3 linked regions of the Oryzias latipes genome follow. The protein of the gene in region 3 interacts with the protein of the main gene of each other region in a pairwise test. Links are inferred from orthologs where the notes say so. Each region holds a gene or a part of one and is shown on either strand. Other genes may lie near its edges.

Evidence for each region.
Region 1: the proteins of receptor expression-enhancing protein 6 (region 3) and ptpn9 interact in binary tests that used the Homo sapiens proteins (3 or more experiments, as listed by UniProt). The two-hybrid records come from large-scale screens. The link is inferred for Oryzias latipes from reciprocal best matches to the Homo sapiens genes REEP6 and PTPN9.
Region 2: the proteins of receptor expression-enhancing protein 6 (region 3) and snx15 interact in binary tests that used the Homo sapiens proteins (3 or more experiments, as listed by UniProt). The two-hybrid records come from large-scale screens. The link is inferred for Oryzias latipes from reciprocal best matches to the Homo sapiens genes REEP6 and SNX15.

Annotation. Positions count from the first base shown.
Region 1 is NC_019864.2:10,370,930-10,375,561, reverse strand, and holds the start of ptpn9 (tyrosine-protein phosphatase non-receptor type 9), read right to left. Parts: upstream 2,837-4,632; 5' UTR 2,707-2,836; intron 2,634-2,706; exon of another isoform or gene 2,559-2,633; 5' UTR 2,351-2,558; coding exon 2,318-2,350; intron 1,986-2,317; exon of another isoform or gene 1,891-1,985; intron 1-1,890. UniProt on the Homo sapiens protein: Protein-tyrosine phosphatase that could participate in the transfer of hydrophobic ligands or in functions of the Golgi apparatus.
Region 2 is NC_019876.2:12,559,584-12,564,215, forward strand, and holds the start of snx15 (sorting nexin-15), read left to right. Parts: upstream 1-1,617; 5' UTR 1,618-1,763; coding exon 1,764-1,862; intron 1,863-2,333; coding exon 2,334-2,490; intron 2,491-3,298; coding exon 3,299-3,414; intron 3,415-3,496; coding exon 3,497-3,764; intron 3,765-3,838; coding exon 3,839-4,012; intron 4,013-4,632. UniProt on the Homo sapiens protein: May be involved in several stages of intracellular trafficking. Overexpression of SNX15 disrupts the normal trafficking of proteins from the plasma membrane to recycling endosomes or the TGN.
Region 3 is NC_019862.2:22,294,382-22,299,013, reverse strand, and holds the start of receptor expression-enhancing protein 6, read right to left. Parts: upstream 3,224-4,632; 5' UTR 3,140-3,223; coding exon 3,007-3,139; intron 448-3,006; exon of another isoform or gene 360-447; coding exon of another isoform or gene 329-359; intron 1-328. UniProt on the Homo sapiens protein: Required for correct function and survival of retinal photoreceptors. Required for retinal development.

The sequences.
Region 1 (4,632 bases), on a different chromosome or scaffold from region 3:
AACTTCTAGTGGTCATTTTAGGAACTGCAACGTTTGATACTTTTGCATCTCCTTCAAACCCAGGAACAGACAGTTGGGGGTCGAGTAATACCGATAACAAAGATGGCATGCAAACTATGAGGCTGAGATTATTAGTTATTACACCACAAATGTAAATATTATTTTTTACCCAATATGACAATAAAAACAAGATGCGTTTGATTCCATCTACAGTTGACCCTCAGCTCTTCTGCGCTGTTGCTTGTATGTTACAAAGGCATGAATACAAGTCATTGATGTGCACAAAGCATTTAACCTTTTTATAATTAACCCCATCTATTCTTTCCAGTTTGTGAGTCATCTGTATGTTTAGTTTTTGCCCTAAACTAAGAAATATATCACCCTGAAAACCGCCTACACTTTAGCCACCCACGCCCTTAATGCTCTGCTCAACCCACCCCTTTCTATTCGAGCTGCAGTTGAGCATGCATGCACACCCAACTAGTTACAACATATAAAAAGCATACATTTCGCCTGATGATGTGGGTTCTTTTCAAAGCTGTTGAAACATATGTGTGTGCGTTTTAATCACTAGCTCTTCCACGCCACGTCGGTCTCAAATTACATCCAGTGGCCTGGGTGAGGTAGAGCCGACTACACCTTGATCCTGCAGACTAAGCTACTCTTGCTCTTTATCACTGAAGCTCCCTTCAACAGCGCCTCTGCGGATCAATTTGATTACAGATGCCATGCTGATCCATTTACAAATGTGGGACAGCTGCTGCCAAATGGCTGCACCCAGTCCCATTTGGCACGAGTCAAACAGGAAGTCAAACGCGTTCACTGTCTCCCTATTGCCCACTTTCTCCAACTCTACCACTTCCTAGGAGTAGACACAACACACACACTTTCTGAGCACATGATAGACACACACTCGGTTCCCCTTCCCCCACGTCTAGTGGAAATACTTTTAACAGCTGCATTCAGAATGAAGTTCCACTACAACAGTACGGTCACAGGGGAGCCAGGCTGCTACACACACAATCCAACCAAGCACCACCACTACCCCCGCTTCCCTCCCTCCCCAGGCTGTGGATGTAATAAGGGCGTCCGGTTCTGAAGCAGGGGCCCTCGGCTCACACAGGAAATGGAATAGGCAGATAAGGCACTTTCTGCTGGCCAGATGATGAAGAGTCAGCAGGAAGAGTAGGCACAGAGAAGACACTGCAGACATGTCAGAGTACACCTGAAGAAAACAAATGGCCTTCAACTCTATGAACTCTTCCCACAGCTGCTGACAGGCGTTCACAGGAGCCATTTTAATCAATTAAACTATTCTAGCAATAATGCAACAATTTTAAAAAAATAAATATGGATCTTTACACCAGGAACCTGTCAAATTTATCTGGAAGCATAAACTCGCTGAGGATTACAGACAAAAACTAGCTTTTGGCCAATTCTGACTTTTCTAACCATAATCGGGCATAGTTTTGAAGTTGCACTGTCCAATTTCAATAAATGTATTATTAGCTATGAGAGAGCCAACAGTATCAGGCAAGAAAATGGTTTGGAAAGCTCATAAACTGGTTTGAAACGTGTCGACTCATTAATTTCCCATAATTCCCTTTCATTTGGAATGAAAACAACGACCAAATTACCAGTTAAATTTAATTGTTTCTCGGCTTTTGCTTATTCTAATAAGTTATTGAGAACGTTTTCATGTTCACTAAAACGAAAACGTGCAATTTTTAAATATTTTTTCAAAAATCGACGGTTTTCTCATCGACTCAAACAGAGAAAAGTTGACAGAACTGGTCTTTTAGTTCATAAATAACTGCTCTGTAACCCGTTTGATGACATTAAATAATACTTTTTAGCATAGTATAGAATAGATTTGGGTGAAAAAGTTACCGAATTTAATGCGTCACAGCGCTTTAACCACCATAACTCTACAGGCTTTCTTCAAGTTTCAAGTGTAAACATTTGAGTGACCCAATCGCGAAGATGTGAGTCCGCGGTAACCCTTCCTCTATAATGATTTCCGGTCATGTCACGCTCTGTAACTCAGATGAAACTGTCCTCATCCGCGGCGCTGGCTCCACACCTCGTTCCAGACGCTGGACAGGAACCGTCAGTGATGCAACTCAAGCGATAATGCACCAAAAATCGATACAATATTTCCGCTTCGTTCTCGGGACTTTTTTTTCCCCTCCCAGCAACAAAACCACTATTGCGCACCACGTATATCGCGGCTCGGACGCAAAGTCGGCACGGAGAAAAAAAATAAAAAATACATCCCTCCAGGTTAATCTCCCACGAAAACATTGCGGAGGCCTACCTGTTCCTCCTCCGCCGATAAAGTAGCTGCCATGATTCCCGTCAGCTCTCCGATGACCTTTTTCTACAGCCTCGTCCTCCTTCTCATAAAGTGGGAGATGTCTGTGCGCGCGTGCTCCTCGTGTCACAGTCGAGGCTTAGGGCTCCTTCACAGCCGACGACATCTGAGTGGAACCTCTTCCCCCTCCGAAAATGTGTTGCTGCTATCCACGCAGGCCAATTAGCATGAATCAGCATCCAAACTAGAGATGAGAGCCGCTGATGTGTCAGATTTCACCCGAAGAGGAGGAGGGAAAAAAACAACAAAGAACACAGGGCTGAAAGCTGGGGGTTTGCTTCAACTCGGGGGATAATAACTGGCTTTGAACCGATGAAACACGTCTCACCCACCTAGCCTGACAGAGATCAGAGGGCTGCAGCCACCCGCTGGCTGCTCCATACCACGAATCGCAAGGTTTCGCCTCTGAACGTCGCCTTTATGCTGCGCGAGAGGCTTTCTACTCCTCTCTTTCCGCATGTTGCTGTACCCCCTGGCGGTTCCGAACGGAACTTTACAAGTGACCCTGCCTCCATTCATAAAAATGGAAAAAGACGGAACAAAAAGAACTGTTGGTGGCTGGCAGCTACAAACACAAACAAATATCTGAACACATTTGAAATAAGTATAAAAACCATTCATTTTAGGTTTGTTAACAGACAGAAACTAAACATGATTACCCTCAACCTGTAAAGGGCCTCCATCATGCTTTTCCTAAACCTTTCAGAGAGTCCCTGTGGACGCCGCCCAGTCGGACAAACTGTGGCCTGTCTGTCAGGTAGTCAGTGATCCAGGAGACGGTGGACGCACCGGCACCCATCAGCAGCAGCTTCTCACCCAGTAAAGAAGGCTGGGTGGTGTTAAAGGCACTGGAGAAATCAAAGAAGGTGATTCTCACCATGCCTCCACCACCATCCAGTTGTGAGTGAGTGAGCTGCAGCAGATGGATGACAGCATCATCCACCCCCAGACGGGGTCGGTAGGCAAACTGCAGGAGGGTCCAGAGAAGAGCTCACCAACGGTCTCACCTGAGCCAAAACCAGTCTCTCCAGCACCTTCATCACATGAGACGTGAGGGCAACTGGACGGACATCACTGGGGTGAGATGGAGATGACTTCTTGGGTACAGGGACCAGGCAGGAGGTGTTCCAGAGGAGCGGCTCCCTCTCCAGTCTGAGGCTCAGGTTGAAGAGATGCTGGAGAACCGCAGACAGATGGTGGGCACAGGTCCTCAGTGTTCGAGAGCTGATGCCATTCGGGCCGGCTGCTTTGTGCTGGTTAAGTTTCTCCAGCTGCTTCTTCACCTGGCAGGCTGTTACAGAGAAACAGGGAGGGAGGGGGGTGGTGTGATGAACTGTGGGCCCAATAGGTTTGGTGTAGCAGAGGGGGGTGAAAGGTGAGGAGGTGTGGGGGGGTTCATGAGGGTGAGAGGTGATATGAGAGAGGGAGCAGGAGCAGGGGGGAGGTGTGGTGGAGGCAGGGGGGGGGGGGGGGGCTGAGGCATTCAGAGAGCTAAACCTAATGAAAAAGGTGAGCGTTTATGAGTGTTTAGCGACGATTATTTATGAGTCCACTGTCATCTGAAGATAAAAATGTTGATGGTTCATTTAAAAAAGAAATTAAAATGAATTTTTTTGCAAAAATTGTTCCAACGCAATGCATTGTGGTCTACATTTTCCAATCTAGTAAGCATCGACGCACACTGGTTTTTTGAAGAGACTTCTGGGAAATTTCTAGGGCACTGGATTTAGGAATTGTAGATTTGGACGGCACTACAAAACGGCAAACGGTGTTTGCCAAACACGCCATATAGTCCACTATGTAGTGAGTAGTGAAGGAATTCACTGGACAGAGCGGTTGTGATGTCACCCGTAGACAATGGTTTACATCCGGCTCCAGCACAATGAAGCTTATTCAGTCCCTAATTTTCCACGATACGTCCGCCGCCATTTGGAGCCAGTCAGCTTGAGTCACGTTTCCAGGGCAACTACCGTTGCTAATCAGGAGTGAACTTGGCCTCGGGAGAATCTGTCAATCAAACATTCAGGCTGGGGGGGCCAGCGGGCTTCAGGCTTTTTCTTTCACAGCTCTATCCGGTATCTGAAAGACTTAATGTCATAGAAATCTGGTCACGGAGCCCAAAATGCGCATAGATGCACCTTTACGTAGACCTTTCATTGGAAATGGCCCCTTGAGCACAGGTTTGCGAGCCTCGTGTGAACGCAGCATCACGCAATCAATCAGCTTATTCTGTTGCAAAGAAAAGCAGCTTTGCTCCA
Region 2 (4,632 bases), on a different chromosome or scaffold from region 3:
AAAAAAGGAGGAGGTAGAGCAAAACAGACCTGAACCAGTTCAAACCAGTCTGGCTGAAGATTTGTGCTTTCATCTCATTGTTTCAGGATCCTCACAGACAAAACTAGTGGACCCCGGGGGATCTGTCCTTTGATTTGCACCATAACAACTGCTTATTTATTTATTACTTTTCTTATGAAATGCTTAGTCAAAAAATGTACAAAGTATGTTGTAATAAAACTGCAATAAGTAAGACTGCATATGAGGGTGGATAATAAAAGGATTAGATTAGTTGTACTCGAGACTTTGAGTTTTTTGATGACTTGCAGGGTGCGGTGCGTCTGATAAGACTTTATGTGAAGCACTTTCACTTAAATTCACGAAGGGCCTCTTTCATCATATCCTTATATAACAATTATTTTTTTAGATCTCCAATTAAGAATAAAATTCCAATTTATGTAAGCTTGTATTTTTAAGCGTTCTGTAAAAATGACCCACATTTTCTTTCACATGAAGCATAACCAATTTCTTGATGTCTTTGTATTTGGCAGAGGTCTTAAAGAAACAAGAAAAGCTGGTCAACAATTTCCTGCACCAAAAGACCAGGCATGATACACCCAGACTTCAACAGTCCGTGTGTGACCATTGTACAAATAGTAAGTGTTTGCTTTGGAGGAATGTGTAGCAGAGTGGCGCAGCGGAAGCGTGCTGGGCCCATAACCCAGAGGTCGATGGATCGAAACCATCCTCTGCTAAGCTTTTGGTTTTTGTTTAACCCTCACAACACAGCGCCTGATGGAGACTTAAGTCATTAGATACGGTTAACTAAAAATTTAAATAATCAACAGTTAGAAGAAAAGTATATATTTTTTTAATTTTGGTATATTTAAAACATCTGGATCAATGAAACAACATACTTTAAGGCTGATCAGGCCATGTTAAGAATACAAAGTTGATGGTACAAAGTCCTGATTGTTCCAGGAGAATAAAAAGAAGCTTATATAGCATTGGGCAGGAAAAGAAAACCATGGGGGGAACTTCCTCGGCCTTGTAGTTTAAGTTTAGTCTAGACCGCTTTCTTTTATCTATTGTCTGGGTATGTCCAAGGCGTATTTCTTTGCATATTCGAGCAGCTTCCTTGATGCAGGACACGTTTGTTTTCCTGTCGTTGCCTAAAAACAAGAACACAGGCTTACTTACACAAACATACGAAAACAACGTGCATTTTTCATCTTCCTTTAGCTTTTTTCAGTATTTTTAAATTTCTGGCTCAATACCATCCCCTACAGGATTGTAACCCTCACTATACATGTTGAGTTCACGAAAGTGATGTTCTTTTTAAGTAAATTAAACCATGGTTAAGTTGAAAAGTCAGCATAAAATACAGTGAAATTATTTCATATTTATGAGAAAAATTAAAACCTCTCAGCGAAAAGGATTACTCGGAGAAGAAAAAAAGTAAATTTATTAGAATAGTACATTTAATATAAACATAGCAAATAAGAAATATCGTGGGTTATCAATGGTAAAAACGTGTTTCCAAATATTTAAAAAACACAAAATACATAGAATAAATGTTAAGCTTTCAAAAATTAAATAAAAGATATGTGTCGCGTTTTACGTACGTAATCACGCATGCGCGAACGTCACCAACCAGGAAGTTGTGAAAGAGGAGGTGCTGAAGAATCACAACAGAGCCGTTCAGCGCAGTGTTTTTGTGGATAGTTTTGCTTCGTTCATCTGCTTGTCTGATACTTTTTTTTTGGCTAGAACTCAGACAAAACATGTCAAAGAAACCAAAAGAAGAATATTATCGGTTCTTCGCTGTTAGCGAGCCTCGGACCCACGAGAAGGGTCACACGGAGTACAAAGTGACAGCCAGGGTCAGTGTCAATCATGCTCATCTTTAGCTGTCAAAGTTTTATTTTTTAAAGATATGTCCTTTGGCTATTTCTTTCTTTCTTTCTTTCCTAAGTAAGGTAATTAGGCTACATACGTTGTTTTTATTTGCAAGTGTGTGGAATCAAAAAAGTGTTGACACAGTTAAAAGCAAGTTTGACTTCTTTTCAGTCAGTTTTTTTCTGTAGAGATGAAGCACAATGAACTTCTTCTGTGCGATTAAGCCAGGGGGGAGGAAACTTGTGATTCTTTTCATGATCTCCCCATGACCACACTAATCCTCCTGTGCTCGACAAGTATGCTTTGAAAATCAGTCTAATTAAAAATTTGACTTTGAAAAAAAAAATCGGCCTTTTTTTACCCGCCACCGATTGTATTAAAAACTCCAGCTCTTTACGAAAAAATGATTTTTGAGCATGTAATAACGATTGAACCATCTTTTCTGGGGTTTGCAGTTTGTATCTAAAATTCATCCAGAGGATGTGAAGGAGGTGGCGGTGTGGAGGAGGTTCTCGGAGCTGAAGAAGCTCCACGGAGAGCTGGCGTTCACGCACAGGAACCTGTTTAGACGGCAGGAGGAGTTCCCCCCTTTTCCACGTGCGCAGGTTTTTGGTACGTTCTGCAACGATCACATCATTCATGATGGGCGTTAATAAAAATATCTGATATTTCAGCATCACTGGGAGCTGTAATCACCTCTTTTTCATTTTTACTTCTGTTGTTCCTGTTCTGCCTTTCGCTTTCTACATTACTCTTGATGGTGTGGCTTATTTTTGAATGCATGGTTGCAACACAGAGGATCCTGTCCACAGTAGCCTTAAGAACTAATTTAAAGTCCCACCTCTTTTGATCTGTTTTGAAAGATTTCTCAGTGATCTTTTAATTATGCTGTTTTGTAACGAAGTATATGAATACATTTTTCAAATGGCGTTTTTTTTTATCTACTCCTTATTTACAACAATTTGAATGAATACGTAGTCAGAAAAGCTTAACTTTCCTTATATATGTCCTCCATCATCTTAAAAATGCCAGAAGAATGTGTTAAAAAACACACAAAAAACAAAATTTCCATTAGAGTGGGTCTTTAAACATTCAGCTGGAATTATTTGGTTGCATTTTGGGGCCATTATGAAAACTATGAGGCAGAATTAAACTCAGTTAAAGAAATCGAGCTGCAAAACTGGCAATGCCTTTTTTTTTTTAAATATGTTTTTTAAATCAAATATCACATATCAGGAAAAGAACAAAAAAAATAGATGTATAAAAAAAGGCTGTTGTTACTATTTGTCTGCTTTGCCACGGCAACAACAGCCATGCTTCTTTGCCGTAGATGTAAATACCCAGAAGTTGTAATAATTGAATATTCTTTTACTTTTTTCAACATGCAGTAGTAAAGTGTAGCTTGTGATTTCTACTTCAGGGAGGTTTGATGAGGCTGTGATTGAGGAGAGGAGGAAGGCAGCCGAGGCCATGCTTCAGTTCACCACCAGCATCCCTGCGCTCTACAACAGCCCGCAGCTCAAGGACTTCTTCAGAGTGAGGACACAGATTCACACTTTCACTGTCTCATATCCCCCTCCTCCTCCTCATTTCTCTTCCTTCATTTTTCTTCCCTCAGGGGGGTGAAGTCACAAGGCCCCTTGATCCCTCCCCTCTGTTCTCGGCCGGGGCTCTGCCTCCCCCTCTAATTCCCCTGCCCAAGCGGAGGGCTTCGGATTGTGACCCGGCTGAAGAGGAAGAGGGCAGGGAGGCCCCCACTTTACCCCAAGATTTGGGCACCAACTTGAGCTTAGAGTTGGGGGAGCCGGAGGTGGCAGCCGAGGCGTACGTTGAGGTCGGAGGAACTCCCAGAGGAGAAGAGGAACTTAGTGATCTGGAAGAGCGAGGTACGAGACTTTAAACGTTATTTATTTACTATTTTTGGTAGATTTTTGTTCTCATCTTCTGTCCGTTTGTCCAGCTGCTTCTCCTGAAATATCTTCACCAAGACGCCACCAACCAGACGGGACCCACGAGGAGTTCGATTCCCTGTTTGACTCAGAGGCAGAGGAGAAAGTCCCATCTCCAAAGGAAGAGGGCCCCCCGCCTCTGTCTGATAACGACTTGGCGGTTTTTGATCCCTGCTACACACAAGGTCAAAAACACAACACCTCTGGGCAAAACTTGAATGCTTTTATGAATGAAAATAAGCATAAACAGGAAGTCCTGATTATCTTCTAGCTTCCCAAATCCAAGCTTTTATTTGTTAGGCTTCAGCTTTGCTAAATATTTGGGTTTTTTGTCGCCGTTTTGCATTAATCTACTTTAAAAAACGGAGTCAACATTAGCTCCAAAACTTCAAAATGTCATTAAATTAGATTTATTTATTTTCCATTAAAAAATTCACCTTTAGTATCAGCTACAATTTTAAACTTCCCATCTTATCGCCTCCTAACTCCTTGAGCATCAATGGAAAGCTACTGGAAGAATTTAGTCGATTTTCAGAGGTGCTAGCACGGGGAGCCTCCATAAGTGGCGTTCTCCTGTTGCCCACACATTTGCCACCCAAATATTGTAAAAGAAATGAATACATGAATGTAATACTGGCTCAAGTTGAACAAAATGATACAGCAGATGATACAAAACAGATTAGGAATGTGGACCTCAGTTGCCAAGGAAATCCCAAAATGTGCTGTCACTTAAAATGACACAGACCGGTTCGTCACCGCCAGGCGACCAAAAGATAAAATGGTTTTTTTTTATGGAGATTTAACC
Region 3 (4,632 bases):
CACCCGGAGACAGACAGAATCCACTCATAAGGGCAATTTTGACAAAGACATTATGCTGAGCTGCAAAGTACTTTTTAAAAAGTGAAGTTTTTATCCTTTTAACCAACACATTCCTTTAATTTAAAACATCTTTGTAAAGTGGAAAATTGCAAGTTTTGACTTCTAGAGAGCTGAAAGACACTTTAGTGTTCAGAAAAAAAAGCAATTATACTACAAGAACCTTTTTCTTCACTGAACTTTCAGTCTGACAGCAATCTTGAAAATAAGAAAAGACAAGATAATGTTTTCCAAACGGAAACACGGGTAGCTGGTTAGGCAACCTACCTACCTCTGATCAGCTTACACTGCTGCTCAGTCATGGAGGCCGCCCCGCCGTGTTGCCTGTCCCTGTGGATTATCTGATTTAACACCACTGCTTAGAGAGGGAGACGGTGAGCGCCAGGCACCACACTGACATCATGTCCTGCTCACTGTGTCACTGACCCACTGCACCCTCAATACACTGCTGTTACTCGCTCACGAGATGTGTTGAGATCTGACTCAGTGGAATCTTAGGACACAACTTATGTTTAATTAAAGTCTATTTCTTTTGTTGATAAAATATCAAGAAATAACAAAGGCAAGAACTTAAAACCAAGCTTCCAATCCTTAAAAAGGGGTTTAGAAAATTGATGGATGATTGGTTGAAGATAATTGAATCGGTTAGTTCGAAAGGGACCCAAGTCCACAATTTTTCAAAATACAGATATTACATGTTCTATAGACTTCAAAGGAAAAGCTATCTGATTATGTGCAAAAAAGTTCCAAGTCCGTTGTAATGTATTGACAATGCTTTGACATTTAAAATGCGTTTAGTGCAAAATTCCTTGACTTGGGCCTCTCTTGCATGGGTTTTGCTTCATCCCATAGATGGCAGCACTAGTTATCCAATATGGCAGAGCCCCTGTTTAATTCAAGAAGGGCCCAAGTCCAGAGACTTTAGTCTTAATTTCCTCTGAAGTTATAAAAGTGAGGTGCTTCATATTATAGCATTTGTAAGCTATGAACTGGTGCCAAATCTGGGTAAAGTATTAATCATTTGGTGTAGCCTCCCTTTAAGCTATGCGATTAAAATCATTTCCTGGAAAAACAAACCTCTTGGACTTGGGCCCCTTTTGAATGTTATCCTGATCACAGGAAAGATGGAGCCTACCCAGCCAATGAAAGGTGAAGCCTTTTGACCTCCTCTGCATTACCCAGACTTCTGATTGGCACATGGAAACACTGGAGAGTGCCCCCGTCCCATGTGGTTCCCCAAGTTTTAGAACCAGGGAGTCCAACGCAGTCTCCCATTCAAGGACTGGGAACCCTTCCAAATGTTCAAGATCAGTCAAGATTGGTTGCGTCCATCTATGCTTTTTGTTAAAGAAAAAATATGCACATCTTCAAATTGGGATGAAAGGAAATTTATTCTGCCTGCAACAAACCTTATAGCTACAACTGCAATAATGACATAAAGAATTGTGGGTAAGAAAGAGAGCAGACAGAGAAAACCCTGTACCCACGCATACAGGGGGTTGAACCGTAAAGGTGATGGAGGTTTTTAGGTTGTCCGGGCCCGTGGAGAGTTGCAGATAGGAGCAGGGGAGTGCAGATTTTTCACCTCCTCTGAGGGTTGTATGGCCACTTCAAGGGACAGTGTGAAAATGGAACGTACCATTTTTGTGCATGTGGTAAGTGTATCACATCTGAGTTACAGTATACACACTTATGACGAACAGGTAATGCTGGCGTTCAGTGCCCTAGTCATCGGTAAGGTGCACATACTAACTCCATACTGAACCATTTGTGTGCCCAGTTTTCACCTGCCCACCTTTGAGGGCAGTTGTGATCAATACCTAATGAAGGTGAACAAAAAATTACCATTGCATTTGGAACAGTCTCCTGCATGGCAGCATACCTCAATACATGGATCAGGGTCACCCATGTCATCGACAACCCTTCTGGAATAGTACTGGAGATGCTCTGTCTCACATGTTTAAAAATGTATGTGCTCAAAACTTTATTAATAAAGCTGCCATTGGTTACTTACATATTGTTTACAAGAGGCGGAAAAAACATTCAGTGGGATTTTTATCAAAATAGTACATGCCCGAGGGGACAAAGCGCATTGTGATACTGTTGTATCCTAGTCAACTAAATCTATTAGCAGTTTGCTGTCTATTTATGTTTTTTGCTTACCTAAGCCCATAGGATCAAACCAAAACAAAAACATTAAAGAGGCCTAGCATATTTTGCCAATGGAATGTTGCGTTAACTGTTGGGACAACAGTGTCATGATTTGAGTTTGTTGTCTTGTTTTTCGTCCTTGTTCTTGTTCTGTCTGGTTTGTTTCTGTTTCCTGTTTTATTTTGAAAGTTCTCCTGTCTTGTCTGTTTTCTTGAGTTTTACTTCCTTTGGTCCCCATCTGCCCTGATCGTGTTCACCTGTGTCTTGTCTGCCCTGTCTGTACTTAAGTCATGTCTTTGCCTTCCTCCTGTACTGGTTCATTAGTCTTGTCATGGTGTTTCATGTCATGCTGTCTCTTGCCACATTCCACGTTTCATGTTCCTCGCCACGTCAAGTAAGCTTTGTTTGTTCAGAAATCCTGCTCTGCAGCGCTTTGTGTTTGGTTTTTGTTTATTAAATCCATTAGACTCTGATCCTCGTGCCTCCGCCTCTGCTACTGGGTCCTACCGGCTCTCGAGCCACCCCGCACCATGACAAACAGTCCAAAAACACAATTTGAAACCATTTGTCAATGGAATACAGATGCAACTTAGGAGGTCCTGATCAATATGAACAGTTGGTTTTGCATCCTGGTAGCTTTTTTTCACATGAGGATTAACTGAATCCCCATCCGTTTTCCATCAGCTTGCAGCTAGCCAATGCAAGTCTTCTAAATTCAAGAAGAATCAACGTAGAAATATCTGTTGGGGAGTTCGTTTTGAACTGAACAGAGTAAAAACAAGGGGTCACGTTACGTACCCGCGGCAATGAACTTCTTCTTGATCCCCGTCTTTTCCTCTACCTTTCCCAGAAAATCGGTCACCATGTTCTTCTCATTGAGAAACTTTTCGGCCCGTTCTTTGATGGAAGAAAAAATGTCCAGCAAGCCCATGGTGCTCGAAGAGCTGCTAAAGCGCAAAATGGGTCAGGGAAAGGCAGCCTGCAGGGAAGAGGAAGTTATAACCGCCGTTAATCCCCTGACAGCAGCAATCTGCTTTGATGAGGAGGAGGAGGGGGAGGAGCACAGGAGCAGGTGGATAATGATATGGCTGTGACCGTCATGAAACCCAAAAGTCATTTCCAACATATATATGTATATCGGTTTATCTTAACAAAGAGTCATGATCCGCACAACGGTTGTGAATTGGAAGCAGGTCACTGGGGTGTTTAAGAATTTCTTTGAGTTAAGGCCGTGTCACACAGCCATTACGTACATTTTGCGCACATTGTACAGATGAAAATTGGTCATACGTGAATACACGTGGAAAGAGTGAGAATCAGAATTGAACCACTTTGAAACCACAAAAGTACAAATAAATCATGCAAAGAACATGTAAATCAACGAAAAAGGCAAATATGGCCCAAAATCCATGCATTAATTTACTTAATTTGAACGTCATATGTGTGCTCTATACGCAATATAAAAGTTATACTTCAGTGGTACGTACGTAAAAAGTCCATAGACAAAAACTATGCACAATTGCGTAAGATTTACGCTTGAATTGTGTACAAGCCTCGTAAAATACACAAAACCTGCTTAATTTTCATCTAACCAAAAATTCTGATCAGCATAAAACCAAATTCAGGTAAAGGCCAATCGCCCAACATCCTCGACGAACATCTGCGCACAGCGACACATGACAGGAAACACTAGCGAATTACGTATTTCGCGCATTCATCACGAAAGACAGAAATTGAATACATGGAAAATGTGTAAAATGTACATAGTAGCTGTGTGACACGGCCCTTAGGCCCACAACACAGAGAAAGTTCAACAGTGTGTTCCAGTTCCAAGGAACACGCACCTCTTGGTCTGCACCCATATACCCCTCTTCTACTGCAAAAAGCACTCATCTCTGATTACTTACAAGACTCACAATAAGTTAGGAATATTTTTATTTGCATGAGTATTTTTCCTATTTGGCCTGATTTTATTGAAAAGTTCACTTTGATATCACCAATAATAAATGATAAGAAACACTGGCTATGTCTCAATTCCCTCTCTAATACCTAACTACTAAAAACTATATAGTGCGGGACTATGTAGTGCCCTGGATTTTAAGAGTAATTCGTACACCATGCTCACTGCTTTTTTTTGTTTTACAGCAAATATAACATCATGGATTTCACAAAGTAAAAATCTCATCAATATGAGCATTTTGCGACGACCATTCATGAATTCCCTGTGTTCTAAAGATGATAACGTTGATATTTTATTTTAAAAAATACATTTAAATAAATTTTCTTTGTAAAAGTTGTTCAAACGCAGTGTGTTGTGGTTTGCATTCGCCATTCAAGTAAGCATCAATGCACAATGGTATTTCGCAGAGACCTCTGGGAGATTTCTGGGGCACTTGATTTTGGAATTGTAGTTTCGCACAGCAC